4 linked regions of the Drosophila melanogaster genome follow. The protein of the gene in region 4 interacts with the protein of the main gene of each other region in a pairwise test. Each region holds a gene or a part of one and is shown on either strand. Other genes may lie near its edges. The genes, in order: Pka-R1, TwdlL, Rox8 and Elal.

Region 1 (7,281 bases), on a different chromosome or scaffold from region 4:
AGTGCATTCTGTGCTCGCCCTCACTAGAACGCTGAAGACTGCTCACACTGTTGGGCTCTACATGAAAAGTGTCCAATGGTTCCTGCGGAAGTGCATTACGATTGCATACATGTGCATTTCGTTTGTATTCGACACCTAACTTACCGCAGAATACTGGCATCGATGACGGAATGACATTTCGTTCCATCGGGTTTCAGCAGCCCGTCTTATCTCGTTATTCGAGTAATATTCTCCGTAGCGCTTCTTAAAGTCCCTCAGAAAATTAACAAAGCCAGACGATGAGGCGTATTCGTCCTCTGCCCTATTGATATCTTCTTCAATGTCGGAGGCGTCGGAATTAACATATTCAATTGATTTTTTATAGGTTTTCACTGATTTTGTTACTGCCACCTCCGGCTTGCTATCCTTTTGTTTCAGATTACTCATTTTGCAACCAATTCTTGCTCGACAGAAATTTTCACAAACAAATTTGTTACTCAGAATTATACAAAAAAAAATTATATATGTATAAAAAACTGTACTCAATTTTATCGAAATATTTTAGTTGTTCCTCGTTCAAAGGTAGTGTACTAACTGTTTGTATGCTGGCTTCAGCGTGGAGACCTGGAAATTGGATTTGAATGAAGGCTCAATTCTACTATGATCAAGAAAAAGTTCCTTTTTTCAAACCAAGTTGGCTGTTTTCAAAGTACATTTCGCAGATCGGCGCCATATTTCCATGGTTATTTTTGTATACTATATTCGTTCAAGATATTGTAGGAGAAAATGTTTAATGTTTCTTGATCAGTATCAGTCGAGCTGGCCATATTCGTCCGTCCGTGTGTCTTGAAAAAGGTTTTAATATTCTGTTTGCAATCCGACTAGCTGAGTAACGCGTATCTGATATTCACGAAATAGAATAGCGTACTTCCTTGTTTTCAATGAAATGAAATGAACAAATATTTTACAAAAGCAATACTAAATGTTATATTATAATCTGAACAAAATATGTAAGAAATACCAGAAATGTCGTTGGTGAGGGAAGGTGTTTAAATTATCCTGTGCGACTACGTTCCTTTCCGGGGTTTCAACCACTTGGTAAGCAACAAGCGGCATTTTGCTGGTTAATGCTGCCGCTTAAACGAAAATCAATACAACTTGCGGTCTATTTTCGAGCGGATTGTTAAAAAAAAAACCCATCCATAGGTGGATTTCCCAGCACGGATGCTTTATTTTCGGCTTCCTGCTTCGGAGAACTGTATTCCCTCTGTTCATTGTGAAGCTTTAAAGTTTATTTTGTGAGACAGGCTGCAGCAAAAGCTTGCAATGCTGCAATGTAAATAGAGCAGCGCACCTGTGGAGGTCCTTTCCACATCGTCCTGTTCCCCCTCTCACTTGCCAAGCGACTTTCCTTACCCCTTTTTCTCCCAACTTTGATTTTGAGTACGCCTGTGTGTGTGCGCCGGACTCTCTGGGGCAAGTTGCCTGTTGAATGCCGGACCCGCTGTCAGTTGGATTAGCATCCTGACGCCGTGCAGAAGCATCCTGCTTCCACCTAGTTCACTCCGTTCGTTTGCTTTTTATTTGTTTGCCTCCGCGCGCCATGGGCAACCAGTTGAGTGTGAACAGCATCCAGGATGCGGTCATCGATCGCTTCCGCTCGGTGGCTTTGACCACCGATGCCAACGGCGCCATGCGCATCCGTTCGTTTTCGGAGGGCGTGGTGGCCACCACCCACCATCATCATCAGCATCAGCAGAATCAGCAGCAGAGTCCCCATTGCAGTGGACGCGGCGGACGCATCCTGCGCGAAAGTAGCATCGATGGCGGGGTGGCCATGTTCGATGCTCTGCTCCGCGATGATCACGAACATCGGCTGAGCTTGGATGCAGTGCATCGCATGCGGCATGTTCGCACCTCCTGCACCACAATTCCCGAGGAGGATGCCGTCAGCGATCGCAGCCTGCAGATTCATCTCTCCACTCTGGCCCGCGAACGTGAACAGGAACTTGAGCTTGAGCGCCAGCGGGAACGCGAAGTAAGTTGGAAAGTCGGAAAAGTTTCCAATTTCCGGAAAACAGTAGGAAATCACTAGGAATTTGTGCTGAAAAGCTTTTGGCGGAAAAAAGATTTAAAGTGTGGGAGTGTGCGCATACTAGAAAGCTTTGAATCGTTTGAAATTGGTGTCTTGTTGATTCGATTTGTGACTACAAATCACGATGTCGTTAGTTCTAACACAAATAAAAACATGCAAAAAAATGTTTACCTTATTCCGCGAGCACCTAATACCCTACTTAGAATATAAAAATTTAATAAAATATGAAAAAGTTTGCTATGTTTTACGTTAAGGCCTTTTAATTCTTTCAAAATATCTTTCGTATCTGAAGAAAAAGAACGAACAGGAAGAAAATGTTCACATTTTATTTAAACATTATAAATTTATTTTTTGCAAAAAGGTAAATGGAAAGGGGTTAATTTTTGGGATACAGTAGAATATAGTAACCTAAACTATATACTAATTTAAAGAAAGTGCATTTCATAATGCCCCACGAGCTGCTTTTTGCGACAAAATGTCGAGTTTGCACTTGAAACTCGAAGGGAATTCTAACGAAATCAAAGCGCTCCCTTCGCTTTCCCTTTAGCACTTCTGGCCCTTTTCTCCCGTAAAAGCTTTTCCCTTTGCCAGGACTTGCGTCACAAGTGCGAGTGTATGTGTGTGAGGTGGTGGGCGGGTGTGCGAAAAACTTTACTTTTTGGCCAGTCGTATTTGTATGTATATATTTGTGTATATATAGAAAGGTTGCCTTCGCTGGGCGTGTTGGTGAAGGTCATCCTGTCGTCGTCGAGATTGTGTTTGTGTCTGGCTGCTAGAGTTTGCTTTCGTCCTTTCGTTTGTCTCAGTCACTTTTTGGCCACCGTCAGTTGCCCATCGTTGTTCCCAATTTTAGTTTTTTCGCCAACTTAACTGCTCAATTTACTAGTTACCATTCACCTTTTGCGGTCGTTACTTTTCGACTTTCTTGCCTGATTGATGGCCACGCGAATTCCGCTGCTCCGATCATCGAATTGTCCGGTTTAACGGTCGTGTTAATGCCGCTTTTACGGCTGTCATCGCTCCGTCCGGCGCTGTTTACGCCGGCTTCTGATTAACAGCGGAATCGTGCCAAAAACTACGCCGGACACTTTGTCCCCAGTGTCCGCCATAAAGTACAGACAAACAACAATCAATTGTGTTGGCCAAACGAGGTTGGAAAAGTGCCAAAGCGGAAGTGACAGGAACTCGACCAGCGAAATGGTGGGTAAAATTCGAAGTGTTAAATACGGTTAACTTGGTAAATATTTCGGAAAGAATTGGTTTCAATAGCGTTTTTATAGTGAGGAAGAGAAAGGGTCCCATTGCATTAACGCTTAAGAATCCTTAATCTTTAACATTCAAGTATTCATTCTTCTTCCGTTCCTTCATATTTCTATATTATCCCATTGAAAGGTATACAATTCTCATTTTTAGATATTTATTAGAACTCAAAGTTGTTAATAGTAATATTACTTTCCGATTATCGAATTGCCATCAAGGTATAACTGGATACATTTTTCTTCCAAGCTATATAAATAGTCTCCTTGAGGAAAAACAAATTGACAACATTTTTTTTTAATGAAAATCAACAATTTTAAATGAAATCAACACTCGTATTCTATCCAATCTGTTTGTTTCCTTCCAGAACGCAAAGCATTTAACATACAATTCCAATGAAAAATTTCCCCGAAATATGGCCTCGAATTATGCTCTGTTTACTTGATTAAATTGTTATTTTACTACCTTTTATTTCCTTTTTATGCACTCGCATCGCATTAAAACGATTTCTGTGATATTTTTAAGTGGGTCCGATGAAAGCAATTTATGAGCTCAAAGAAGCTGGGGTCGGAAAAATCGAATTTTTGAAATTTGAAAGCTGGAATCGTTTGCCCATTTTTTGCCCATGTTTGCCCACCAATTAGTTTTTTTTGCCCACGTCCAGTTTTTGAGATATGAATTTTCGAAAAAGTTCGAAAATTTTCGAAAATCAAAAATTTCGCTTTTTTCAAAATTTTTTTTTTTAAATCGCAATAACATCGTTTGCCCACGTTTGCCCACCCTTTAGAATTTTGAAAAAATTTATACTTTAGAAAATATAAGGCTTTTAAGTTTACCTCGGTCTAATCAGAGAGTAAATCGTTTGCCCATCTCTTAAAACCAAATATTATCAACAAAAAAGGTTTGCCCAACCATTATTATTAGTTTTTATCGTTTGCCCACCCTTTAAAAAACCTTTAACAAAAATTTTTTTTCGATTGCCCACATTTAAAATACACCCAATTTCGTTAGCCCACCTCTTTAAAATAAAAATTTCCAATAAAAAACGTTTGCCCACCATTTAAAAATAAATAATTTCGATTGCCCTGCGCTCTTTAAAACTAAATAATTTCGTTTGCCCATCCTTTAAAATTCATTTTTAACGTTTGCCCACCCTTTAAAAATAAATTATTTCGTTTGCCCACCCTTTAAAATTTGTTTTTTTCGTTTGCCCACTCTTAAAACTAAATAATTTCGATTGCCCACCTTTTAAAACTAAATAATTTCGTTTGCCCATCCTTTAAAATTCATTTTTAACGTTTGCCCACCCTTTAAAAATAAATTATTTCGTTTGCCCACCCTTTAAAATTTGTTTTTTTAGTTTGCCCACTCTTAAAACTAAATAATTTCGATTGCCCTCCTTTTAAAACTAAATAATTTCGTTTGCCCATCCTTTAAAATTCATTTTTAACGTTTGCCCACCCTTTAAAAATAAATTATTTCGTTTGCCCACCCTTTAAAATTTGTTTTTTTCGTTTGCCCACTCTTAAAACTAAATAATTTCGATTGCCCACCTTTTAAAACTAAATAATTTCGTATGCCCATCCTTTAAAATTCATTTTTAACGTTTGCCCACCCTTTAAAAATAAATTATTTCGTTTGCCCACCCTTTAAAATTTGTTTTTTTCGTTTGCCCACTCTTAAAACTAAATAATTTCGATTGCCCACCTTTTAAAACTAAATAATTTCGTTTGCCCATCCTTTAAAATTCATTTTTAACGTTTGCCCACCCTTTAAAATTTGTTTTTTTCGTTTGCCCACTCTTAAAACTAAATAATTTCGATTGCCCACCTTTTAAAACTAAATAATTTCGTTTGCCCATCCTTTAAAATTCATTTTTAACGTTTGCCCACCCTTTAAAAATAAATTATTTCGTTTGCCCACCCTTTAAAATTTGTTTTTTTCGTTTGCCCACTCTTAAAACTAAATAATTTCGATTGCCCACCTTTTAAAACTAAATAATTTCGTTTGCCCATCCTTTAAAATTCATTTTTAACGTTTGCCCACCCTTTAAAAATAAATTATTTCGTTTGCCCACCCTTTAAAATTTGTTTTTTTCGTTTGCCCACTCTTAAAACTAAATAATTTCGATTGCCCACCTTTTAAAACTAAATAATTTCGTTTGCCCATCCTTTAAAATTCATTTTTAACGTTTGCCCACCCTTTAAAAATAAATTATTTCGTTTGCCCACCCTTTATGATAGGGTCTAGGCTATTTAAAGTTAAATTGGCACTAGTATCCAGCTGTTGAATTCCACATCGTTCTTTAACCACAGTTATCATGTTATTCCTATTGATTCTGGCATAGAAATTAAGCGTCTTCGCGCTGATCGCTCCTTTCAATTGGTTGCTTATATCCATCCAAACTTTATCGCTTCTTGGCTTAAGAGCTCCAGTCTCCGTAAAAATATTCGCGCAGCAAAATGCATCCACTAAGGTGTGACCATCGACTTGCGGTTTGGCCGGCATCCTGACAGTAACACTTATTTTTTATGGAGTAAATAAAAAAAAACTATTTTGCACTGATTTACACGTTTTACACTGTTGTTTACACTGTAAATGTATAAAGGTATGCCTAAAGGAAAAACGCGTTGTATAAAAATAAAAGCAAGAACCGAATAATATGGAAATTTTGCAAGTCTTTAAAAAGACTGTCAACAAAATTCACAAGGATTCAAATAAATTTAACACAATCACTCAGATTTCTTAAGTTCGTGCTTAGCAACTTTCACTTTCTTTGAAAAACAAAACAACTTTAACTTTTCCAGCACTGGGTAAGCGTAGTTAAAATCGCGCACAACTTTTTCACATAAAAAATATTTTAATTATGAGTTCCGGATTTATCTTTTACACCTAATATGAGTATCAAGGAGGAGAGCGATTTTCAAATACCGACAAGTGTTTTAGATTTTATAGAGGATTCTGACCTGCCATGAAAAACCCATTCATAAAAAATTTAACACTTTGTCACAGGTAAAAAATTGGACCCTATCATAAAGTGAGGTTTGAAAATTATGTAATTACCTGGTAAACTGTAAATTACAAGATTGGCAATCGGAACCAATTTTTGGTCTATATAAACCCAGAAACACCTGTGCGTCTGCACGTGTTATGTAGGCAGATCCTAAAACTAGGAAAGTGGCACGTGTTTATATGGTGGGCAATAGAATTTATTTATTCTTAAGATTTTAGGATGGGCAAACGAAATTATTTAGTTTTAAAAGGTGGGCAATCGAAATTATTTAGTTTTAAGAGTGGGCAAACGAAAAAAACAAATTTTAAAGGGTGGGCAAACGAAATAATTTATTTTTAAAGGGTGGGCAAACGTTAAAAATGAATTTTAAAGGATGGGCAAACGAAATTATTTAGTTTTAAAAGGTGGGCAATCGAAATTATTTATTTTTAAATGGTGGGAAAACGTTTTTTATTGGAAATATTTATTTTGAAGAGGTGGGCTAACGAAATTGGTTGTATTTCAAGTGTGGGCAATCGAAAACAAATTTTTGTTAAAGGTTTTTTAAAGGGTGGGCAAACGATAAAAACTAATAATAATGGTTGGGCAAACGTTTTTTGTTGATAATATTTGGTTTTAAGAGATGGGCAAACGATTTACTCTCTGATTAGACCGAGGTAAACTTAAAAGCCTTATATTTTCTAAAGTATAAATTTTTTCAAAATTCTAAAGGGTGGGCAAACGTGGGCAAACGATGTTATTGCGATTTAAAAAAAAAAATTTTGAAAAAAGCGAAATTTTTGATTTTCGAAAATTTTCGAACTTTTTCGAAAATTCATATCTCAAAAACTGGACGTGGGCAAAAAAAACTAATTGGTGGGCAAACATGGGCAAAAAATGGGCAAACGATTCCAGCTTTCAAATTTCAAAAATTCGATTTTTCCGACCCCAGCTTCTT
Region 2 (5,929 bases), 1.8 Mb from region 4:
CATCTTTGCCATCCAAACAGTCAACATGCGTTCCTTCGTCGTCCTTTGCTTTATTGCCTTGGCCACGGCCGATAAACTTGGCTACAATTACCAACCGGTGGCCCACTCTCCCTCCGGATTGAGCTTCCAGCCATCTGGATCGGCCAGCAGCGATGCACCCGCTTTCGCGCCTGCTCCTAGTGCATCCTTTGCCCCCGGTCCCTCATCCATTGCTGATGCCCTGGAAGGATCTCAATCTGCTGCTGCTCCCAACTACGCTGCTCCTCAGGCCCAACTCGAGAAGGAATTCTTCACTTACACCGCCGACGAGGGTGACTTCTACGACCCATCTGCTTCCGACCGTGTTGCCAACGCCGTGAACAAGGGACTCCGCGTGGTCTTCATCAAGGGACCCGAGAACAGCGGTCTGGAGGATGCCGCTCTGGCTCTGGCCAAGCAGGCTGCCCAGCAGGAGACCGCCATCTATGTCCTGAACAAGCAGGCTGATATCGGTGATCTGGCCAACAAGCTGAACTCCATCCGCAACAACAACAACAACAAGCCCGAGGTGCACTTCGTCAAGTACCGCACTCCCGAGGATGCTGCCAACGCCCAGAGTGCCATTCAGGGTCAGTACGATCAGTTGGGAGGATCCAGTCAGTCCCAGAATGGAGGTGTTGCCTCTACCCTGAACTTCGCCTCCCAGCCGGCTCCACGCGAGAGCACCGCTGCCAGTGCTCCAGGACCAAGCTACCTGCCCGCCAACATCTTCCGTCGCTTCCGTGTTTAAGTGCCATTTACAGGATGTTGATTTTGTTGCCTAGTTATCATGTTGTCTTATTCCATAAATAAAAAAAAATAATTGTTGTAATCTGATTTGATTTTTTTGGGCGATTCCGTAAACAGAACACTTAAGACGGATTTTTAGCCGAAACAAATCCAAACAACTTATTGTATTTTACACTTTATTTTCCTACATATATATTCATTAATATATATATATTCATATTTTCATTCATTTGAAAAAAAAAATGTTTTGGATGAAAAAAACTTAAATGCTTATTTTATGAACGCCTCTGAATGAATGACACATGAACACATCAGTTGAACTCCAACTGAAGAAAATTTATAGTTTTCAAAAATAAGGAAAATAAAATTTAACGTTAAAACCCTTCACTTTCATTCGCTTAGCTTAAGATGACAAAACACTATCAAACGATTATTTTGTATGGATTACAGAAAAGTATCAGCAGAACTTTTGATGATGATATCCTTCTATCCAAACACAGCATTTTTCATATTGTTTGATTGCTTGTACGTTCTTCTTCTCCGTTTAAATGAGATTTTAAACTGACTGGACGCAAATATTCTGGCTCTTATATACGGGACTTGTATGGAATTCCCAGACTATTTAAAACAGGTTTGCCCAGAGTTCAAAGCAAGCTTCCGACATTCTTTTTGACTTTGAACCTCAAACTAAAAAGTCACTTCAAATTCTAGACCCACTTTCGATAGCAAAAAAGGCGACAAACAGAAAGCAACAACAAACCATTAACTATCAATGGAGTTCGCATAGATTAAGATTTTATCGTTTCGTAGGCGGAACTCAAAGAATGCATCACATTGTGTTCGACTTTAATGACCATCAGAACATTTTTGGACGGGCTCTGACTTTTTTTTTGGAAACGGGTTTGATAGTTTTGCAGCATTTTCCCCAATCGAATTCCGGGCAGTTTTGCCCCGGTCAAGAATAAATCGCGGCGCCATGAACCGGTCGAGAATTTGGCTTTTGCAATTGGGCAGAAAGTCGGGGGTCGCCGACTGGATGTATTGGCGAGAATTTTAGGATAGTTTGCATAATCATTTCATAAGCGCACCGCTTTGCATAAAAAACTAGTTGAGTTATGTAGCAACCCGACGGGAATGGTGTCGGTTATAGTTCTAAGTCGGTTCTAACTACGCCAGATGGGTATATAAGCTGCTCACCTCAGTCTCAGGATTCAGTCTTGGCCTTTGCCTGTTAAGCACACCCAGCCTACAAAACCAAACCTTCACCATGCGTTTCCTCATCGCTTTCTGCCTGATTGGTGCCGCATGCGCCCAGTACAACTACGGAGCGGGATTTACCGGAGCCGCCTCCGATAATGTTCCCAGTTACTCCGGAAGCAGTGTTGGCGACTCCTACGATGGTGCTGCCAGCAGCCCGGACTACTCGGTCTCCAGCGAACTGAACAAGGAGTACTACACCTTCGAGGCTGACGAGAGCCAGTTCGAGGATCCTCTGGCCGCCCAGAAGATCGCCGGCTCCGTGAACAAGGGACTCCGCGTGGTCTTCATCAAGGGACCCGAAAACCGTGGCCTGGAGAACGCTGCTCTGGCCCTCGCCAAGCAGGCTGCCGAGCAGAGGACCGCCATCTATGTCTTGAACAAGCAGACCGACATTGGAGATCTGGCCCAGAAATTCAATGCCGCCCGCCAGAACTCCAACCAGCGTCCTGAGGTGCACTTCGTCAAGTACAGGACTCCCGAGGATGCGGCCAATGCCCAGCGTGCCATCCAGTCGCAGTACGATAACCTGGGAGGATCCAGCCAGTCCATCAACGGAGGAGTTGCCAACGCCATCAACTTCGCCTCCGCTGCCCCCGTGGTTCCCGCTCGTCGTGGCCCCAACTACTCCCCACCAGCCGCCGCCACGAGCAACTCCTACCTGCCCGCCAACATCCTGCGTCGCCTGCGCATCCGTTAAGGACCGAACGAAAACCGACAGTTGTTAAATGTGTTGTATAAATGTAATTGAATAAAAAACGAAAATCGATAAAAACAAATACGCTTAGATTTATATATCTATTTTTAATCTAGATCTTCGAAGTTTCTGACTTTGTCATCGGCCATTGCAATTTGTTTGTTTTTTAATAGCTTTTCCTTATAATAACATTTATGCAAAGCTGAATTGCTCTGCGAGCCCGAACAAAAGCCGTTCGCTGCCTACTTTGTAGGCGGACAAAACATTTAGCAGCATCAGCGCTTTGTCTTCGAAAAACTGCGCCGCCAGCTTCGAAGTTGGGTTAGTATATATAGTTACCGCCGCCGTGGTCATAGGCAGAAGCAATTTGTGCTCCGAACCAAGAGAACCTCAAACCCAAAACTAAAGATGCGCGCCTTCATCGTAAGTGGTGTAGCCAGGACTTAAGACGAATTCACAACTAACGGATAACCCTTGAATCCTGTAGGTAATGTGCCTGGTGGCAGTCGCCTGCGCCGATAAGCTCGGCTACAACTACCAGCCCGTGGGACACTCCAGCTCCGGACTGTCCTTTGCTCCTGGAAGTGGCAGCATTGGAGGTGGATCCATTGGAGGTGGTTCGATTGGAGGAGGCTCCATTGGAGGAGGATCCATTGGAGGAGGCCTCATTGGTGGTGGCTCTATCGGAGGCGGTTCCATTGGAGGTGGTTCCCTTGGTGGTTCCATCGGTGGTGGCTCTATTGATTCCGGTCTTGGCGGTCTTGGTGGACTCGGTGGTCTAGGAGGTGGCGACGCTCTGGCCGCTCCAGTCTCCTACAACGCCCCCGCTCCCGCTGCTGAGCTCCAGAAGGAGTTCTTCACCTACTCCGCCAACGAGCAGGACTTCGATGAGCCACAAGAACTGGAGCGTGTTGCTGGATCCGTAAACAAGGGACTGCGCGTTGTCTTCATCAAGGGACCCGAGAACCGTGGTCTGGAGAACGCTGCCCTAGCCCTCGCCAAGCAGGCTGCCCAGCAGGAGACCGCCATCTATGTCCTGAACAAGCAGGCCGATATTGGAGATCTTGCCCAGAAACTGAACGCCATCCGCAACAACAATAACAACAAGCCCGAGGTGCACTTCGTCAAGTACCGCACTCCCGAGGATGCTGCCAACGCCCAGCGCGCCATCCAGTCGCAGTACGACCAATTGGGAGGATCCTCTCAGGCCCACAACGGTGGTGTGGCACCCGCCCTGAACTTCGCCTCCGCTGGTCCCGTCCAGAAGGCTAATGCTCAGATCCCTGAGAACGCTTACCTGCCCACTTCCATCTTCCGTCGTCGTTTGTAAATATTTTAACGACTTCGAGATGAAGGCGTTGACTGTTCTTGTTAAATCTTATTGTTGAAATCTATTGATAAATAATATACAAAAATCTGAATACAAACATTCTATGATATTTTATATTGGATGGTGGTGTAGTAAACAATAGTGTATACCTTCCGATGACAACATGAGTGGAGTTACAAGTTGGGCTTTTAGAAAATTATTTCAGTCTTTGGTGAGATTTTTCGACCTGTTTTTATTGCACAAAAAGTTTGGTAATGACTTTTAATTTGAATTTATTCTTAAAAAGGTGCAACGCTATTAACTTAATACAAAGCAAAAGACCTTTAAAACTCATTAAGAATTTGGTAAGCTATATTACCCAAGGCAGCTTCCCGATGACCTTGACGTTTAATATTTGTCATAACCAAAATATTATCCTACGAAGTACTGGGAAAAGAATAAAATAAAATATTTCCGCATATTTTAAATGTAGGCAAAATGTTTTTACGACAAAAAAGTTAAATTAAATATAAACATATCGTTTTCACCACTCTCAAGTTAAATTTTTTATTTCATTAGTAATATATGCGAAAATAAAGAATCAATGAACTGGGGGCGGCATTTCAAACATCTCATTAGACGACTTGCTAAATTTAGCGCTTGCATCATGTCCATAAATCAGAACTAAACAGATGTGTCGAAAACGATTATAATGACTAAACGATTGTCATTCAGTCGGAAAAACCAAGTGCAGATGTCCTACATAAAACAAGCTTTTAGCCTTGCCGAAGAATTTGTCAAAAAAATGTATTTTATATAATACTCGTACCTAATTATGACCCATCTGCATGTTAAACTCATTCCGACGTGCTCGCGACATATTAATTTTATAATTCAATATGAATTCTTGTAAACTATTGGACGAAACTCGAAATATTTGAATAACCCACGACGGCCAGACTCTGCCCATTGAAACGCAACCAAAAAATTCCACACCGAACATTAAAAAAAACAGAGGAAGCAAAAACCTTTGTAGGCGGCAAAACACAGTGGCTTCAAAGAAATCTCCGTGCAGCAGACGCCGCGGCGGTATCTTTGTCTTTATCAGCCTCCAAGATGGATTTGTATAAATAATAAAGATCGCTCCTAGCCAGAGACACAAGCAACTCATACCTCAAAGCAAAAGAACCAGCAATCTGCTTAAGATGCGCGCATTCATTGTAAGTAGCGCGGTTAAGGATTCAAAGGATTATACGCCAGGATAACACTTCTCTTTTCATGCCTCCAGGTCCTGTGTTTGGTGGCAGTCACCTGCGCCGATAAGCTCGGCTACAACTACCAGCCCGTTGGCCACTCCAGCTCCGGACTGTCCTTCGCTCCTGGCAGCGGCTCTATCAGTGGTGGATCTATTGGAGGAGGCTCCATCGGAGGAGGTTCTATTGGAGGAGGCTCTATTGGAGGAGGCCTCATTGGTGGTGGCTCTATCGGAGGAGGAAGCATCGGAGGTGGATCCCTTGGTGGTTCCATCGGTGGTGGCTCCATCGATTCCGGTCTTGGCGGTCTTGGTGGACTCGGTGGTCTAGGAGGTGGCGACGCTCTGGCCGCTCCAGTCTCCTACAACGCCCCCGCTCCCGCTGCTGAGCTCCAGAAGGAATTCTTCACCTACTCCGCCAACGAGCAGGACTTCGATGAGCCACAAGAACTGGAGCGTGTTGCTGGATCCGTAAACAAGGGACTGCGCGTTGTCTTCATCAAGGGACCCGAGAACCGTGGTCTGGAGAACGCTGCCCTGGCCCTCGCCAAGCAGGCTGCCCAGCAGGAGACCGCCATCTATGTCCTGAACAAGCAGGCTGATATTGGAGATCTTGCCCAGAAACTGAACGCCATCCGCAACAACA
Region 3 (10,468 bases), 820 kb from region 4:
CCGCTGTGCGAAGAGTGTGCCGACTCCATGCTGGAAATCATGGACAGGGAACTGCGCATCGCTGAGGACGAGTGGGATGTGTACAAGGCTTATTTGGATGAACTAGAGCAACAGCGTGTAGCACCCAACGTTGAGGCCCTGGACAAGGAGCTCGACGAACTAAAGCGCAGCGAGCAACAGCTTCTGTCGGAGCTAAAAGAGCTCAAAAAGGAGGAACAATCGCTAAATGATGCCATTGCCGAGGAGGAACAGGAGCGAGAGGAGCTGCACGAGCAGGAGGAAAGCTACTGGCGCGAGTATACCAAGCACAGGCGTGAGCTAATGCTCACCGAGGATGACAAACGAAGTCTGGAGTGTCAGATCGCCTACTCGAAACAGCAGCTGGACAAACTGCGCGACACCAACATATTCAACATCACCTTTCACATCTGGCATGCCGGGCATTTCGGTACCATTAATAACTTTAGGCTGGGTCGATTGCCCTCTGTATCCGTGGACTGGTCAGAGATCAACGCCGCTTGGGGCCAGACGGTGCTTCTGCTCTCTGCGCTTGCTCGTAAGATAGGGCTCACCTTCGAGCGGTATCGTGTAGTACCCTTTGGAAATCATTCGTATGTTGAGGTGCTCGGCGAGAATCGAGAGCTCCCGCTTTATGGCAGCGGCGGATTTAAGTTTTTCTGGGACACCAAGTTTGATGCTGCCATGGTAGCTTTTCTCGACTGTCTTACCCAGTTCCAGAAGGAGGTCGAGAAGCGCGACACCGAGTTCCTGCTGCCCTACAAGATGGAGAAGGGCAAGATCATCGATCCCTCCACGGGAAATTCCTATTCTATTAAGTAGGTTTAGAAATGGTAAAGATTTTACCTATAATAATGATGGTTTCCTTACAGAATCCAGTTTAACTCGGAGGAGCAGTGGACCAAGGCACTGAAATTCATGCTAACCAACCTGAAATGGGGATTGGCCTGGGTTTCTTCACAGTTTGTGTCACCGTGATTTTTCTTTCTCTTTTAAATGTATATTTATAAATTACTTAATTATCCCCATAGTATTAAATCTAAATCTTTCAAATTTTAAATGAGAAGTATTTATATTGTTATGTTTATTTCAGGTAAATTTTGAAATAAGAACGTCTTTGGTACATACTTAATTCAAAAGTTATTTATCTAGTTTTGTATAGCTTTTTTCTGTGTTTTTGGCTCCTCCTCGCTGTCGTCAGAGTCAGAGTCGGATCCAGAGATGTCATCGTCTATCCAGAGTGTGCCCTTTTTCTTCTTTTTTGCCTTGGTCTTGTCTACGGCGGGGGATTTCCTCTTTGTGCCACTGGAAGTTGCTTCCTCGACGCCTTTCTCCTTGTTCTCCTCGGCCTGCTTGAGTCCCTCCTCGAAGGCGTCGTTTACCTTCTCGGTCAGATTAGCCCTGGCTTCCTCGTACTTATCGTCCTTAAAGTCGTGCTTGGGCACGGCCAGCAGTTTCTCGATTTTTCGCTTTTTACGCTCCTCGGCCTCCCGTTCCCGTTCGCCCTGCTTCTCCAGCCAGGCGCGCACCCGCTTCTCCTCGTTGATATCCCGCAAACGGCGACCACTTAGATCGCGGCAAGCCTCGCGATTGGTTGTCTTTTCAATTTGCGCACCAATGGCTCGAAGCATGGAACCAAATCCTCCTTTGCCACCGAGCTGGCGGAGAACGCAGTGAACATCTCCAGATGAAATTTCTCCCTCCAAGCGCTTGCCATTGCTGACTAAGTAGTATTCCCCTGGTTGCAGGTTCTGTAAAAAAAAGGGCCACATTGCAAAATCTTATGAAAATTATACATAACATACTCACTGTTTTCTCCGCAATCCGACTGTAAAGCTCATCACATTTAACGTGATCTCCACAAGAAATTATATATTTACTGTTTATAAAAATATTTATGCCCATTTCGACGACCTTTTCGATAACGATTGTTATTTCTAGTCTGCTTTGTGCTGCATTTGCGCCCGCGGTGAGTGTGTTAGAGAGAGAAAGCGGTGATGCAAGCGTTATCGCCTGCCCTAGGGTTGCCCCCTTTTCGATAACGTTGCTTCAAATAACTTAAAGTCGCGAATTAATGTGTGATCCTTGTCATATTATCGCTGAATTTCCATTAAATACCCCTACGTAAGTAATTTTATAAAAAAATCTTGTCAAGTCCATACTCTTTATTGCATTTCCCATCTTGCCGCCATTGCGTTTTTATTTCTCAGCAAGTTGGCAGCCCTGGCTCTCGCACACAAAATCTCATTAATTAGTTCGCATTTTAGACGACGAAGGTAAAATTTTAGCGACGCGTTCAACGTACATTTGCAGCCCCTAACAACTTTGAAAGTTTCGCAAAATTAATACAAACCGGTAGCGGCTAAACTTGACCGTCAAATGAAGTGTGCGAACAGAGTGCAGAGCAAGTAAAATGCGGTAAATTTACAAACGCAGCCACGTCACAGAGAGCGCATTAAAGAAAAAAGAAGAGAGTGCGAATTTTGACAGCGAAATTCGAGTCTGAACAATGGACATTAAGCGAATGCACTATAGTGCGGCGGGGACGATAATTGTTAAGCCCAGTTTTCGGCACCGCTGTCAGGCAGCAGGGTCGGGGCGGAGGCGTGGCGGTTGTTGGTGGCGGGGGAGCGGCATTAAAAGATGGCAGCACAAAAGCGAACAAGATACATACATATACGTACATATAGCGGCAAGCTGAAAAGGCAAATGAAAAGTCCCGCATTCAAATCGTCTTGGTATTGGTATATTGGCATTAGTTTAAATACACTCAATAGCCAAAAGCGGAAAAAAGCAAAAGCAAAAGAAAAGTGGAGACTCATGTGAGGAAAACGCAAACAAAAAGACCAGCGCAAGACGCCTCTCTCTGCGTGTGTGTGTGTGCGTGTCGGTGCTAATGTGTCAGTGTGTGTGCGAAAAAGAGACGAAGAAAATAAGCAGCAAATGAGCAACCAAAACCACCCCGCCATTCCCTTTTCGCCGTCTCTTCAGTTCTGTGACTTTGACTGACATTTTCTAGCGCCGCCGCCGCAGAAATAATCAAAATCAAGTTTAGTTCTATGCAAATTAAAATTTGATTTCGCAAAGTGTGAAGAAGAAGAACACGAATCTAATGCAACCGTGTGTGTCACCCGCCCGCCGGTTTCGCAAAATTTCCCACATCTTTCTCTTCCTTTTCCCTGTTTTTCTTTCTCCTCATTTTGTTATCGACGGTCATTCATCTTCTAGTCGATTTTCGTCGTTCTCCTTTCGCCCTCGTCTCGCTGGCGTGCCTGAGTGTGCATTTCTGTGTGCTGTGCGTGAGTGGCCCAAAAAAAAATTTGTAAATGTGAATACAGAAATATATTAATTATAAACTAAATCATTTTGCAAGGCCCGCAAATTTGTTGCGAATGAATGGCTATTGTCAATTGTTGGCCATTCGCTTTGTTATAAAGACAGGCAGTCTCTTTCCCCTGTCCTTTCCCACCCGCCTCTCTCGCTCCGAAGATAGCTCACTCACTCTCCCCGTGTTTTTCGTGTGCGCCAGTGTGTGTGAGCGTGCGTCTGTGTGTGCGTGTCCCTGCACTGCTTTGCCGCCTTCTTTGTTCCCATCATGCGAAAAGGGGGCGGGGCGGGGTAGTCGATTTATATCCATATCATTTGCGCCTGTTTTAAGGCCCACCGATCATGTGCCATTAGACCTTGTCCCACTCTTCCGGTTATCAGCGCAAAACTAACCCAAATTTACCTCTCTCTTTTACAGCAGCAACGATTCCAGGGGTCAGCTTCGAAACCCGAAAAGTACACTCAGCCTGCGAACTTTCACGCTGTTTAACTTAGCTAACTAATTTTTGTACAAGAGCAAGAATAAGTAGTCGCAACCAAGTATTCATATGTACATTTATACAATCCTGTATATTGGAACGGACAACTATTTATAATCACAACAACAACATCCGGATCATCGAAGAAGGATCGAGCAATTCTGAAATACCAAGTAGTGTACACCAAGAAACCCCGAATCCAAATCCCAGGCCCCCAGGAAAGGAAGTCAACCGATTATAGACATATATATTAGGCGACTAATCGTATATTCCAAAACACTCCATTAGCGTTTAGTTAGGACAGATATATTTATACGTATACATATAGATGTTTAACGAAATTTTCAATTAGGCGCCAGATTAGGAACAAAATAAAGCAATAAACGACGAACCTCAGCGTTAAGCAAATAGATCAACCTACCTAGATTGAGCATATAAAGTTTATATAATCCAAAAAAATCAAGCCAAGCCGAGAGTAAGTCGAAAGTAGTAGAAAATCAAAGTATTCAAATCTCTCTTGGAGTTTCCTGTTAGCAGCTAGCACCAATTAGATTGCCGCAAATACACCTGTTTAATTAGCAGACACTTTAGATTTTGTACGTAGCTAGGAACTTAATCTGCAAATTTTTGATACATCCCCTTCCGATTAATGCGGCCAGGTGCAGTAGTTGCAATTCCGGTTTTAGTGTAGAGTCAGTAGATTGTCGCTGTAGCCTAGTGTATAATCAGATCAAAAAAGCCACAGTCCCGTGACATCCGACAGCCATGGACGAGTCGCAACCGAAGACCCTATACGTGGGCAACCTGGATAGCTCAGTGTCCGAGGACCTGCTAATTGCCCTCTTCAGCACCATGGGGCCCGTCAAAAGCTGCAAAATCATTCGGGAACCGGGCAACGATCCATATGCCTTCATCGAATATTCCAACTACCAGGCAGCCACAACAGCTCTGACCGCCATGAATAAACGCCTATTCCTCGAAAAGGAAATCAAGGTAAGCTGATTAGCTTCTCTTAAGTTATCAAGTGGACAGCGGTCATTTTCATTCATTTTGTTCGAAACTACACTCTTGCAACACACACATTCCCCACGACCAAGCCCTCATGTTATTTTAATTATGTAGAACTTAATTGATTATTACCTATTAAACGAATGCTCTTCGCAGGTCAACTGGGCCACCAGTCCCGGCAATCAGCCGAAGACAGACATCAGTTCGCACCACCACATATTCGTGGGCGACCTCAGTCCCGAGATTGAGACAGAAACACTGCGCGAGGCTTTCGCCCCATTCGGAGAGATCTCCAACTGTCGCATTGTGCGCGACCCTCACACCATGAAGTCAAAGGGTTACGCCTTCGTGTCGTTTGTGAAAAAGGCGGAGGCAGAGAACGCCATCCAGGCGATGAACGGCCAGTGGATTGGCTCGCGCTCGATACGCACCAACTGGTCCACGCGCAAGCTGCCACCACCACGCGAGCCTTCCAAGGGCGGAGGCCAGGGAGGCGGAATGGGTGGCGGACCGGGCAATGGGTCCGGTGTAAAGGGAAGTCAACGCCACACCTTCGAGGAAGTGTATAACCAGTCGAGCCCCACCAACACCACCGTATACTGTGGCGGATTCCCGCCGAATGTCATCAGTGACGACCTGATGCACAAGCACTTCGTCCAGTTTGGTCCCATCCAGGACGTGCGGGTCTTCAAGGACAAGGGCTTCTCGTTCATCAAGTTTGTTACCAAGGAGGCAGCCGCCCACGCCATCGAGCACACGCACAACAGCGAGGTACATGGAAACCTGGTAAAGTGCTTCTGGGGCAAAGAGAACGGAGGCGATAACTCGGCCAATAACCTCAATGCCGCCGCTGCCGCGGCAGCAGCCTCTGCCAATGTTGCCGCCGTTGCGGCAGCCAATGCTGCGGTTGCCGCTGGAGCGGGTATGCCCGGTCAGATGATGACGCAGCAACAGATCGCCGCCGCAACAGGAGCGGCGATACCCGGCCAAATGATGACACCCCAGCAGATTGCGGCGCAGTATCCATACGCGTACCAGCAGATGGGCTACTGGTATCCACCTGCGGTAAGTGTTGTATTCTTTAAATACGCAGTGACCTAAAGATTGACCCTAACTTTGTGCTTTTCTGCAGACTTATCCCACAACCCAGATGCAGACGCAATACATGCAGCAGGGCTACTATCCCTACGCCTACCCTACCAGTGCTCAGCAAGCGGGAGGAGTCCGTAAGTTTACTTTTCTCAGTTGCTGAATAATCGTGACCTTGGCTTAAACAGCTTGCATACAATTTTCAGCGGCTGGATACCGCATGGTGCCGCCGAATGTAGCATGGGGCGTGCCCGGAACTGTGGTGCCCGGTGTGACGGCTGCCGCAGCATCCGCGGCCGCTGCAGCGAACGGATCACTTGCCCCCCAAATGATGTACAGTGCTGCGATGCCACAATACCAGACCCAATGAGCTGAGATGTGACGCCAGCTTCGACGCCGTTTGCAGCATCCGGGAAGTCGCCCCCAGCCGCAGCCACAACCACCTCTGCTGCATCAGCTTCCGCACCTGCAGCAGTTGCAAGCGCATTACGCACGTTTAGGTTACGTACAATACCGAGTAGTAGCAAAGTCGGAGCCGCTCCTGGCCATGCCGTTGACCAGCGGCAGCAGCCACATTGACGGTGGCAATGTATCTGGAGATTATTAAGGATGCGCGAGTGTCCACTTTGAAGTTGTGGCTACGGTTGCGGCTGACTGCGGTGGAAGGAAGCGGAATCGGGTGTGGTATATAGCCCCCCAAAGTCGAACGTTAAGGCGGTGCGTGGAGCTCAACTTCAAGTGATCCACGCCGGCGACAACTGAAAGAACATCAATTGAAAAGCTCCGGGCGATGGGCGGGTAGCTGTAACAATCTAATCCAATCTAAGTACGTGTTAAATTAATTTAATGATTTCTAATTTAAGCAGATATAGGCGTATAAACGAAACGGAAATAAAATAAACCGAATGAGAAATTCAACAAAAACAAACAAATAAAAACTGAAAAGAGAAAATGCTAATTACGCGCGACAGAGTTAAAACAAAAAGAAAACAATCGAAACAAAAACGTGACAAAGCAAATTGTAATTGTAACTATGTGGAACATGTGTCAACGAAAACTGAAGACGGAAAGAGGGTAGTTTCAGTGGGATGAAAGGATAGCCGCAAGCAAGCAAGCCGAATGCAAAAACAAGAGGAAAAACAAATTTAGTCACTAAGAGAATGTAAATTCGAGCATACATATTGTATATTTCCAATGTGGAAAACGAAATGCGATATAAATATGTAAAATGTAAAATAAAGAAGCAAAAAAATATATAAAACAAGTGAGAAAACGAAGGGACGCTGGTTTTTATATTGAGGTAATGAATTAGGATGTGGAATTATTATTTCAAACTTTAATTTATATCATTGATGATAGAAGTGGTTACTACTACTACAAATCTGGTGGAGGATTCAGCGGAGTCTAAAATATAGTTAAAAAGTAATTAACTTTTACAATTGTGCTAAAAAGTTTTCTTAAGGTATAACATACATACATGAATGAATTTTATAGCTTTAATATTCTCTAGTGAGACGCAGTTTTTCTGCGAAACTAGTTTTCATGAATGCTTAATTCTTCTGCTTACTTTCTCTTAATTTAAATGCACCTGGTGATGTCAGCCGTTGCTCAATTCTCAATACACTACCAATGGTTTCCAATAGCTTAGAATTTTGTTGATGATTAAGAATGCAATTGATGTTTCTTGAAATCGATTTTATTTAGCGTATTCTATAGATTTCTTTATATATATAGTTTTATATGCATGTAGTTTTTTTTTGTATCTGTGTTTAGTAACTAGTCAAAGAACTCAAATTCCGGGTGGGCGAGCTGCGTTGAAGCTGGTTCAATGTGTCGCGATAAGCGACGGGCATGTGCGCGGGTGAAGATGTATCTGATCGATCTGATAACACCAGATCCATACGCACCTGCTAGGTACAACATTTTTGGGTGTGTTACTAATAATATAGGTGAATCGGAGACGATTGTATTTATGGCTGTAGGTACATAGATTGAAACAAAGGAACTAAACTAGACTAACCATACGGACAGTGATAACTATTAAAACTTAAATACGATTCTGCGCTGGTAAATGTATCTTTGTGGGTGTGTATAAGTATATCATCGGTCTTAGGTCTACGCTTACTTCTAGATTACATGTAGCTTGTGGATGGGCACTCAATGTACAACAAAAATATGCTTTATAGTTCAAGGATACAATGGAAGTAGTTGTGAACTCCTTGGGCCGCCTGTCTTACAAAAAATCACTACGGAATGTTTCAAAAAACTAATTTATAAAGCAATGTGGCCTTGAATTACTATCATAAACGAAGATAGGGCAAACCTACTATTCTAAGAACTCCAATGAAAAGTACAGATCTTAGAAATATATACCATGAGTATGAGTATAACGATAATGGAGCTGCATGGCAAATGTTGCACCACATGGACATGGTGGTTAAACAACGAAAAAATACAATACAATGTTCTTAGGCTAAAACACCAGAAATAGCTGGGAAACAAATCATATTAAATAACTCACAGGTAAATACAAATGTAACAATGTTTGTGAAACGAAAAGTCTACGGATTGAATAGAACCTTAAGGGCGAAAAACATGGGTCACATAATCAAAACTAGTGTAACGACAATGGGTTGCGCTCTGAGACTCACATCACAGCTTCTCCAAATTGGATTGATGAAGGAGGGCAGGATCATTGGCTAGAACAGACTAGATGGTGATGTCGCCATAATCTTGCGACCACTTCTCATATGAGTTGAGGCTTTGCGGCGCCACCGAGCGCCTGATGCGCTTGAGCGAACTGTGAAAGTCCTGCTCTGTGATTGCACGCATTGCACTGATGTCCAGACACTTCACTTGCTCCACATTCAACTCTCGAATGGGCTCCAATGCGGCGTCCTTGGCCAGTGCCGTTAAGTCGGAGCCCGAGTATCCGTCTGTTATCTTTGCAAGGCGACGCAACGCCTCGGTATCCAACGGACTGCCTTGCTTCTGGAGCAGTCGATTGAGGAGCAGCTCGCGGGTTTGCTCGTCGGGCAGTGAGACGTAAACGCGCTTTGTGAACCGACGCAGGGCTGCCTCGTCCAATTCCTGCGGTCGATTGGTGGCGGCCAGCACCACGATCCTGTCTCCGTCTGGATTTCCAGGCAGCCCATCGAACTCCACTAGAAACTCGGTCTTTAGGCGACGCGATGCTTCATGCTCGCTGCTGCTTCGCTCTGAAAGCAACGAGTCCACCTCGTCGATGAAAATAATGGAGGGCTGCATGTGACGGGCCACGGCGAAGAGAGCCCTCACCAGTTTCTCGCCATCCCCCACGTACTTGCTGGTCAGCGAGGCAGCCGAAATGTTCAGGAAGGTGGCACTACACTCAGTAGCCACGGCGCGGGCCAGCAGTGTCTTGCCATTTCCGGGAGGACCAAACAGCAATAAACCCTTAGCCGGTGCACGAAGCCCTAAAAAGGAAGAAGATTGGTTATGGTGACGGTTCTAGTCGCAGAATAACCAACTCACCCGTAAAGAGTTCCGGTCGGACGGAGGGTAGAATGACCATTTCCTGTAGAGCCTGCTTGGCCACATCCTGACCGGCAATGTCAGTCCACTCCACTTTGGCCCCACCCTCGACGATCTCGTCGAGTATAAGTTGCACCAGCTTCTGTTCCACTCCCTTCACACTAACCACCGGAGTGCTGGCGCCACTGCCACTGGGTCCGTTGTTGTTTATGGGAGTCCGCGAACGCTGGGGCGGCGTATTACGCCCCGAAGACTGTAATATGAGTAATTTAGTTTAATTAGTATTTTAATTTCTGAGTATTTGCCAAATGTGTAAAAACAAATTTAGTTTACTTATCAGATACTCACAAATTGTCGCCGAACGGCGGGAGGCGTTGCAGCTGTCTTGGCTGGTTGCCTTTGGACTGCGCCTACAGATGTTTTGGAGCCAAGGTTGCGGGGCAGCGTTTGTGATTTGTTGGCCACGGCCAAGTTGACGGGTCGTTTGGATCCAATTGTCAGTTTGCGGCCAGATGCTGTGAACGAATTAGCACAATCAGAGATGGATAATGCGGAAGAATATACTCTTTTACAAGTTTACAATTTGGCCAATCGAAATAAAAAATTCTAAGAAAATCAAGTGCCAAGTGAGGTGATAGGGATTGACTAATCGATCTGCTTATGGTGGCTTTGCGCTGGCGTGTGAGGATCTTGTTGGGTGCGCGTTAGCTGGTGAGGAACTTACCAGTGGGTTGGGCACTGGTGGTGGCCTTGGGCCCATAGCCACTGCTGCGCACCCTTAGTTTCATTGGTTCGTTGGTCATTCCTGCCAGCATGGGCTCCCTGGTCTTCTGCGGCTTGCTTTGAGCCTCTTCTTTCTGCTTCTCCTTTAAGGAGAGGCGCTGCATTTGCAAATCCTGCTCACGCAGAGCTGCGCACCGGATGAACATGTGCATATGGACAAAACGGAGGGGACAACAAAAAAGCAGGGGAAAACGTGCAAAATGAAATAAAAAAAAAATGAGGTAAACAAATCCTATGTTTTAGGGGTATAG
Region 4 (7,113 bases):
TGGTGGAGGTGCAGGAAACGTTCGAGCTGAACCACGAGACTCTGTACCTAGCGGTTAAGATCGTCGATCTGTATCTCTGCCGCGAGGTGATCAACAAAGAGAAGCTGCAACTTCTGGGCGCCGCTGCCTTCTTTATTGCCTGCAAGTACGATGAGCGACAGCCGCCGCTTATAGAGGATTTTTTGTATATCTGCGATGGTGCTTATAATCACGACGAGCTGGTGCGAATGGAGCGGGAGACGCTGCGCGTTATCAAGTACGATCTGGGCATCCCGCTCTCGTACCGTTTCCTGCGCCGCTATGCCCGATGCGCCAAGGTGCCTATGCCCACGCTGACCCTGGCTCGATACATCCTGGAATTGTCGCTCATGGATTACGCCAATATTTCGTTCAGTGACTCGCAGATGGCTTCGGCCGCACTGTTCATGGCACTGCGTATGCACGGCGGTCCGGGGCAGCTGGACAAGCAGACGTGGACATCGACGCTTATCTACTACACCGGCTATCAATTGGCGGACTTTGCTGAAATTGTGACCGCGCTCAATGCAGGACTGCATCGCAAGCCACGGGCCACCATCAAGACGATACGGAACAAGTACTCGCACAAAATATTCCACGAGGTGGCCAAGGTGCCGCTGCTGACGAACCAGGAGCTCTTCCAGGGCAACCTTGACCTGAACGAAAGCAATCTGTCGTAGGACAGCCTCAAAGTTTAGCCAAATTCAACATGATACGATACGCTTCACTTAGGCTCTAAGACGCTTCTATTCCCAATATTAGCCCCATCCCGACGAAACAGCGGATCCCCGCCTTAATCTAAAAACCCCTGATTTTACCCCTTACCTAGTGTTCCCGTCAAGTCCTCGCAATTTATTATATTTTAATTATTATTGTGACCTTCGCATTATTGACATGTTTTTTGCATAAATATTATGTTAAGAGTGCTTTTGTTTCTTTTTGCCATGTATTATTGTTTAATTTTCCCACATACCGCATACGTAGCCGAACACAATCAATCTAAACTCGAAAGGCGACATTATCTTTAGCACCCCCACCCAAAAAATCCCAAAACGATTCATGTTTTAATATGTACGTTAGTCTTAAGAGATGCCAGCATTAAATAAACCTAACTCGTAAGCCACCAAAGCAGACACGGATCCCCACTAACTTATTCTACACAGATACACAAACGCAAGGATACGAAGCGACTATGAAAGGCACGTGTGTCCCGTACAACCTGGAAATGCGCTGCGATCAACCCTCGTCCCGTGCACGCCATGTACGCCATGTGCATCTGTTCCTGTCGTCGTTATTAATGCTGTTATTTGTTAAGTCGTTCATGGACTCCCCTCCTTGCGCTCACATTCCCGCCCCTCGAAGGACGCTCACCATCAACTTCCCAGTTCCTGATCATACCGCCCCGCCCCGCCCTGCCTCAGTTCACCTCGTTTATCCATGGATGGTTGATAACGTTGCATTGTTGAAGTAACTAGTTATGTATGTACTCAGTGTTATGTATGTATCGTTTTGCGAGAGAATACCAATAAACATTTTTACGTCCGTTCAAAAATACTTCAATCTTTTTACCATCATTACATTCGGAAAACGGTGGGCGAAGTGAAAAAATTCTTACTTTTAATAGGGTAAGTGCAATAAATTCGTATTTTTATTTTTCTTTCTAGAAAACTCTTTTAAAAACCTGATGGAAGTTTCAAAATCGGGTGAGTATTAACTCAGATATAACTAGTTGAATGCAATTGTAGTATCATTAGTGTTTATGTTTACTTTAAATAAGTATTTTAAATTAGCTGTCTTTATCCAGCATGTTGGAAATGATCCTAGTTCCTAGGGGATTAAATAATTTAGGGCATTATTTTCAATTTCCTAGAATCTGGAATGTATGTATTTGTTGCAGTTCAATCTTTAATTGTTAGAAACAGAGCATAAACTCCTAGATGTCAAAGGTTAAGGGAAAACGTTTAGCACATCTAGACTTCTTTGCCGTGAGTATACCCATTACCCCACCCATTCTAATTCCTTTGTTTCGAATCCTCTCAGCTGAATCTGTGCTCCTTTCTCCGCGCTCATCATAGAACAGCTGATGGCTGATGACCTAAGGACATCAAACCCTGGCTGGAATCGGTTCGATTTGCTACAGGTAAAAACCACCGATACCGTCCGTCCAAATCATTCATAATCCATGAGTGTAAGTGTCTGTCTGTATACTCGTAGTCTGTATACCCCGGGCATGATTCTCTCGAGTTTCCTGCGGTTCCTTGCTTTTGGCGCGCTCGTCCGTCATTTTAGCGCCAAAAATTTGTTAAGGATTTGCGCGGCAGGCTGCGCATGCGCCGCAAGACATCAAGACGTCGTCCCTTGGTTGGGTTCCTTTCCTTTCCTTCGGCCCTCTCTTTTCCGCTGCACAGCGAAACCCAGCCGATTTATGTCGCTGCAGTTGGGTCCAGCGAAGGGCACCAGGAGTACCAATACCAGTAACAGCGTCTCTCTCTGACGCTGATTTTCTACCACCACCTTTGGCTCGCCCAGAGTCCTGCCTTTGTGCGTTCCCTTTTTTTCGGCTGCCTGCCAGCCAGGTAGCTCCTGTCGTCTTCGATTGTGTCCACGCCGGATAAAAGAAGCGGCATTGCCATAAGAATAAGGAAAAGAATAAGGATGGGATGTGAATGTCTTGGGTTAGCTGTCTGTATGGGAGCAGAATGCCGAGTGCATGTGCTTTATTTTTTCCGGTTCAAGGTGCAACTGGTAACTGGCCAGCATTGCTAATTATCTTGGTTGGGTGTGCAGAAATCAAGTTTATTTCGCAGGGACACACAGGATGATAGGCAAAGACAGCTGCCTCTGGCCAAGGAGGCAGCAGCGAAGTTATGACTACGACTCGGATTACTTCACGCCCCACCAACACCATTACCACTACCACCACCACCGAGGTCCACCCATGATGTCGGCCAGCTTCAGTAGGCCGGCGAGTTGAAGGCACCGTTGTATCCGCCCCCATATCCACTGCCATAGCCAAAGGCATTGTGATTGTTCAGCACTCCAAATGGTCCCTTGTGGACGCCATCCTCCTTGTACTCGGTGTTCATCGAGAAATGATGGTCCCAATGGCTCGGATCAGCGGGATTGTGAGCCGGATAGCGATGATAGTTCATGCCGCTGGTGGCAGGAGCCTGACCAGCTGCTCCGGGCACTCCTGCCACTCCAGGTGCTCCCGGAACTCCAGCTACTCCAGGAACTCCTGGTTGAGCCACAGCTCCGGGTAGCACTCCATAGGCGGGGAACTGGGCTGGTTGAGGGTACGCTGGGTACTGTGGCAAGTATACTCCGGGGTAGGGATAGCCAGGATAGGCACCAGTTCCCGGGAAGTAACCAGGTGCTCCTGCACCCACTGGCTGCTGGGGAGGAACTCCCACCGGATACTGAGCAGGAACTGCTCCAGCAACAGGATAGCCAGGAGGAGAAACAGCACCTAAAAAGGGGACATTTCATTAATATCATAATTTCATATATATTTCAAAATGTGGATTTGCTATTCACCAATCTTTTAAATTTTGTATAACTTTTTTGGGAGTTAAGACTTGATATTAGTTTTCTGATTTCACTAAGATAAATGAACCACCTATTAGAAGGACCTACCTGCACTTTGGTAACCACCGGATGATGAGGATCCTCCTGAAGAGCCTCCTGCAGCTGGGTACGGAACTGGAGCCTGTTGTCCAGGAAAACCCGGAGGCGGATAAGCGGGAATCTGGTGACCTCCTGTAATTGTGAGTGCCGGATTTGGTGACTGGTTGCCAGGAAAAACAACGGAGTTCGTACTGGCCACTCGTACGCCAGAGCCACCCTGCTCATGGCCATGGGCATCGTCGATGGATCCAGTTGCGCCCGCATAACCCGATCCCAGCTGACCAAGGCCAGGATAAAGTTGCGAATTGAGATTGGCCCGCTGGCGATGGCGACTGCTGGTAATGCCTCCCGTCAGAGTGGAGGCCAGGTTAAACTCCGTCTTCTGATCCTCCTGACTTTCGTCCCTGCTGAATTGCGAGGCCTGACCGCTGGCTATCTGGATGAGGGCCAGAGCGGCGAATGCGATGACCCTCCTGCTTAACATGGCGTCTTTGGGTACACTAAAGCCCAGAAGCTCACGGCGCGTGTATTTCATGGTGAGATCTGATGACACGAGAGCTTAGCTGAGTGTCTATTTTTGGGGTTATCATCAGGGGCTCAATGCCCAGATATGTAGTTTAAGTCTCATTGAGTGTTCTTTCTAGTAAATTGAATGAGAGAGTCTACACTGAAAGCAAAAGTTGAAAATATAACACAACAATGTGCATATGCATAGATACTAGCCATAAATTTGAACAAATAAATGAATTTTTTAAAGAAATACCCATATACAAATTTATAAATATAAATGTTATATATAAATTTCTTGCAATGTATAAATTTGCGGCCTAAAGCCAAGTAATAGATAAGTTGAGACGCATTTTTGGTTTAGGGATTTCCCAAGCAATTCATAACTCATCTTTGCATAGATGATGATCATGAGTTATGATCCTCCCTTTATATAGAGAACGAAAGCTTTCCCAGTCAACCTTGTTTACCAGTCAATAGATTAGTATTATAAGTACATATGTACATATAGCATTTGTTCCATTACCCAAGGTTCTTCCACTCGATTCCATTCATCTTTCTTATCGCCATGTGCTGCTGCTGGCTATAAAAGCCGCATGGACATTGGGACTATCAGCAAAATTGCTCTACATATCCCAAGATGCAGTTGTTGGCTGCGATTCTAGTGCTAATCCTGGCCAGCTTGGCCCACGGTAGACCCACTTTCGATAAGATTGCGGAGCTTCTGTTCGGCGACCCAAATCATTATCCGCCAGCAAGGCCAGTTGATCCACAGCTACATCCTGGACCAGGTCCACTCATCCAGGAGGGCTACGAGCAGGGCTACGACTATCACTATGGTGGAGGCTACGGCTACGGTGGTAGCCACCAGCAGACGCATCCAGGTGGCTATGCCTATTACCCACCACGACCGGTTCCGGCAGCAAATGACTACTATCCACCACCTTGGTCAGTGCGTCCTTCGCCTGGATACTACTCTCAGCCGTCTCATCCTGCCAGTGTCCATTATCCGCACAAGAATCAGGATCTTTACGGAGGTGGAGGTGGTTACAAGCAGCGGGGTTACTAACGTTCATCCGTCAGATACCCCAGTCTCATCCAATCATGTGCTGTCTCATTTGTTTATGTGTAATTTATTAAAATTTCGTTTATTTCCAACGAGCTTTTAGAACCTGTTTTGAACTTATGACAAAGACGATCTCGGGTGGAGCAATTGAACAATGGTCTACGAATATATATACAACAAGTGTGAATCGGGGAACTCCCTCTTAGAAGATTCATCTTCGTCTCACATCAATGGGAATTGAGGGAACCTCCGGGTTTGGCACATGGATATATTTGCTAGAGCTGGGGAATATAATAGCACGATTTTCGGAGAGTTCGTCCAATGGTTTTGGCAATGGCTCCGGCACGATCCAAGTGGGAAAAGTGGGCGTGGGTGGATCCGGATTATGGGGCGGCACCAACGGCGGTCGATTGGTTCCTATTATGAGCGTATCCTTCGTTGGCTGAGCGGTTGGACGTGGCTGGATCGTGGGAAAGGTGGGCTCTGGCTTAGGTGTTGTCGTTGGAAAGATGGGTCCTGGTATTGGCGTTTGTGGAGTGGTGCTAGACTCATTATCTGGATTCCAATTCGTGTTTGGATCATTGGGATCCGGCTGATCGGGGAGGCGTGGATAGTTATCCCATTCCTGTTCCATCCCTCCATTCCAGCCTGGCCTTGGTGGCGGAGGTCCTCCGCCATTCCATCCTGGCCTTGGTGGCGGTGGCCCTCCTCCATTCCAGCCTGGCATCGGTGGTGGTGGCCCGCCGCCGTTCCATCCTGGTCTTGGCGGCGGTGGTCCGCCGCCGTTAAAACCTGGTCTTGGTGGAGGTCCTCTTCCACCGCCTCCGTTCCATCCTGGACCATTCCATCCTGGTCCTTGCCCTCCACCTCCATTCCAGCCTGGTGCAAATCCTGTTTGAACCCAGTCAAATCCGGGTTGATTCTGATTTCCACCGGCTCCCCACTGCCAGCCGGGTGGCCAGCCAGGAGGCGTCGGTTGCTGACGGTTGGGTGGTGCAAATCCTGGTCTGTGCATTCCTCCTCGATTCGGACCCATCCCCGGCCTTCCTTGCTGCAGTCTCTCGAACTGCGGCTGCTGGTTGAAGCGGTTGTTGTTGTGCATGGCATTGATCAGTCCATTGATAACTCCGAAACCGGGCAGCTGGGCCACCACAGTGACGCCACCGGCGGAGGCAACAGCTCCGCCGGCGGAGGACGAGGAGACTGCAAATTGCGCGAGACACGTGCGTATCCAGATGGATGCCAAAAGCCAGACGAGCCAGGCCTGGCCAGCACACCAAGCTGGCGAAGATCGCGTCATGTTCGGGTGTTCGAGCAGTGATCACCACAAAAGGCGGACTCTAACTGAGGGGGAACTTTTACGCTCCGCCTATGCGATAATCGTTGATGCTTGATTAAACATTGAAAACCTGTCCGGCGATCAGTGAGAGCATGATGAAAATCAGTGTCCGCAACCAGAGAGATCTTAACCGCTCTCCAAAATAGGTCTCAGAGAGATGATCATAATAATAATCAGACGAAAAGTAAACAAACACCTGAAGCTTGAAAACAAAAATTGAGATACATATATAGTATGTAGTATACAGATTGAAGTATAAAAGAATAAGAGATACAGGCGATGAAAGAGATACTTCAAGTGATGAAAAATCCATAATAGAGGAATAAATGGAAGGGACTTACTAGTAGTATCCGTCCAGTCTTTACAGATCTCTGTATGTTAGTGTTATATTTTAATTAATTCAAATTCTTATTTGAAGTACACTCATACGATCTCAGCAGTGTGTATTTATATGGAAGTTTATATAATGGTTGGGGTATGAGATGTCCGTTGTATACTGACCATCTACCATCTGCGATAGCTCAGTCTTCCAGCGGATGAAGCGTGCTCCGCATGC

Evidence for each region.
Region 1: the proteins of Elal (region 4) and Pka-R1 interact in a two-hybrid assay, tested with the Drosophila melanogaster proteins (one large-scale study listed by BioGRID).
Region 2: the proteins of Elal (region 4) and TwdlL interact in a two-hybrid assay, tested with the Drosophila melanogaster proteins (one large-scale study listed by BioGRID).
Region 3: the proteins of Elal (region 4) and Rox8 interact in a two-hybrid assay, tested with the Drosophila melanogaster proteins (one large-scale study listed by BioGRID).

What each region holds. Positions count from the first base shown.
Region 1 is NT_037436.4:20,817,453-20,824,733, forward strand, and holds the start of Pka-R1 (protein kinase, cAMP-dependent, regulatory subunit type 1), read left to right. Parts: upstream 1-1,512; 5' UTR 1,513-1,582; coding exon 1,583-2,017; intron 2,018-2,878; exon of another isoform or gene 2,879-3,271; coding exon of another isoform or gene 3,272-3,274; intron 3,275-7,281. Other genes in the region: Mst77F (Male-specific transcript 77F), read right to left, coding at 1-82, 145-426.
Region 2 is NT_033777.3:26,622,804-26,628,732, reverse strand, and holds TwdlL (TweedleL), read left to right. Parts: upstream 1-3,080; 5' UTR 3,081-3,130; coding exon 3,131-3,145; exon of another isoform or gene 3,146-3,209; coding exon 3,210-4,052; 3' UTR 4,053-4,146; downstream 4,147-5,929. Other genes in the region: TwdlK (TweedleK), read left to right, coding at 26-769; TwdlO (TweedleO), read left to right, coding at 2,036-2,725; TwdlB (TweedleB), read left to right, coding at 5,237-5,251, 5,320-5,929.
Region 3 is NT_033777.3:24,039,787-24,050,254, reverse strand, and holds Rox8 (Rox8), read left to right. Parts: upstream 1-1,989; 5' UTR 1,990-2,142; exon of another isoform or gene 2,143-2,465; intron 2,466-2,533; exon of another isoform or gene 2,534-2,756; intron 2,757-2,886; exon of another isoform or gene 2,887-3,067; intron 3,068-3,242; exon of another isoform or gene 3,243-3,317; intron 3,318-3,763; 5' UTR 3,764-4,589; coding exon 4,590-4,817; intron 4,818-4,988; coding exon 4,989-5,897; intron 5,898-5,964; coding exon 5,965-6,058; intron 6,059-6,109; coding exon 6,110-6,291; 3' UTR 6,292-7,199; downstream 7,200-10,468. Other genes in the region: Atg6 (Autophagy-related 6), read left to right, coding at 1-836, 891-996; CG5986 (uncharacterized protein), read right to left, coding at 1,167-1,769, 1,828-1,923; spas (spastin), read right to left, coding at 8,631-9,376, 9,435-9,687, 9,783-9,949, 10,159-10,344.
Region 4 is NT_033777.3:24,862,386-24,869,498, reverse strand, and holds Elal (Elastin-like), read right to left. Parts: upstream 4,150-7,113; 5' UTR 4,130-4,149; coding exon 3,655-4,129; intron 3,488-3,654; coding exon 2,973-3,487; 3' UTR 1,848-2,972; downstream 1-1,847. Other genes in the region: CycB3 (cyclin B3), read left to right, coding at 1-698; Srg1 (Sting-regulated gene 1), read left to right, coding at 4,793-5,221; CG7016 (uncharacterized protein), read right to left, coding at 5,430-6,518.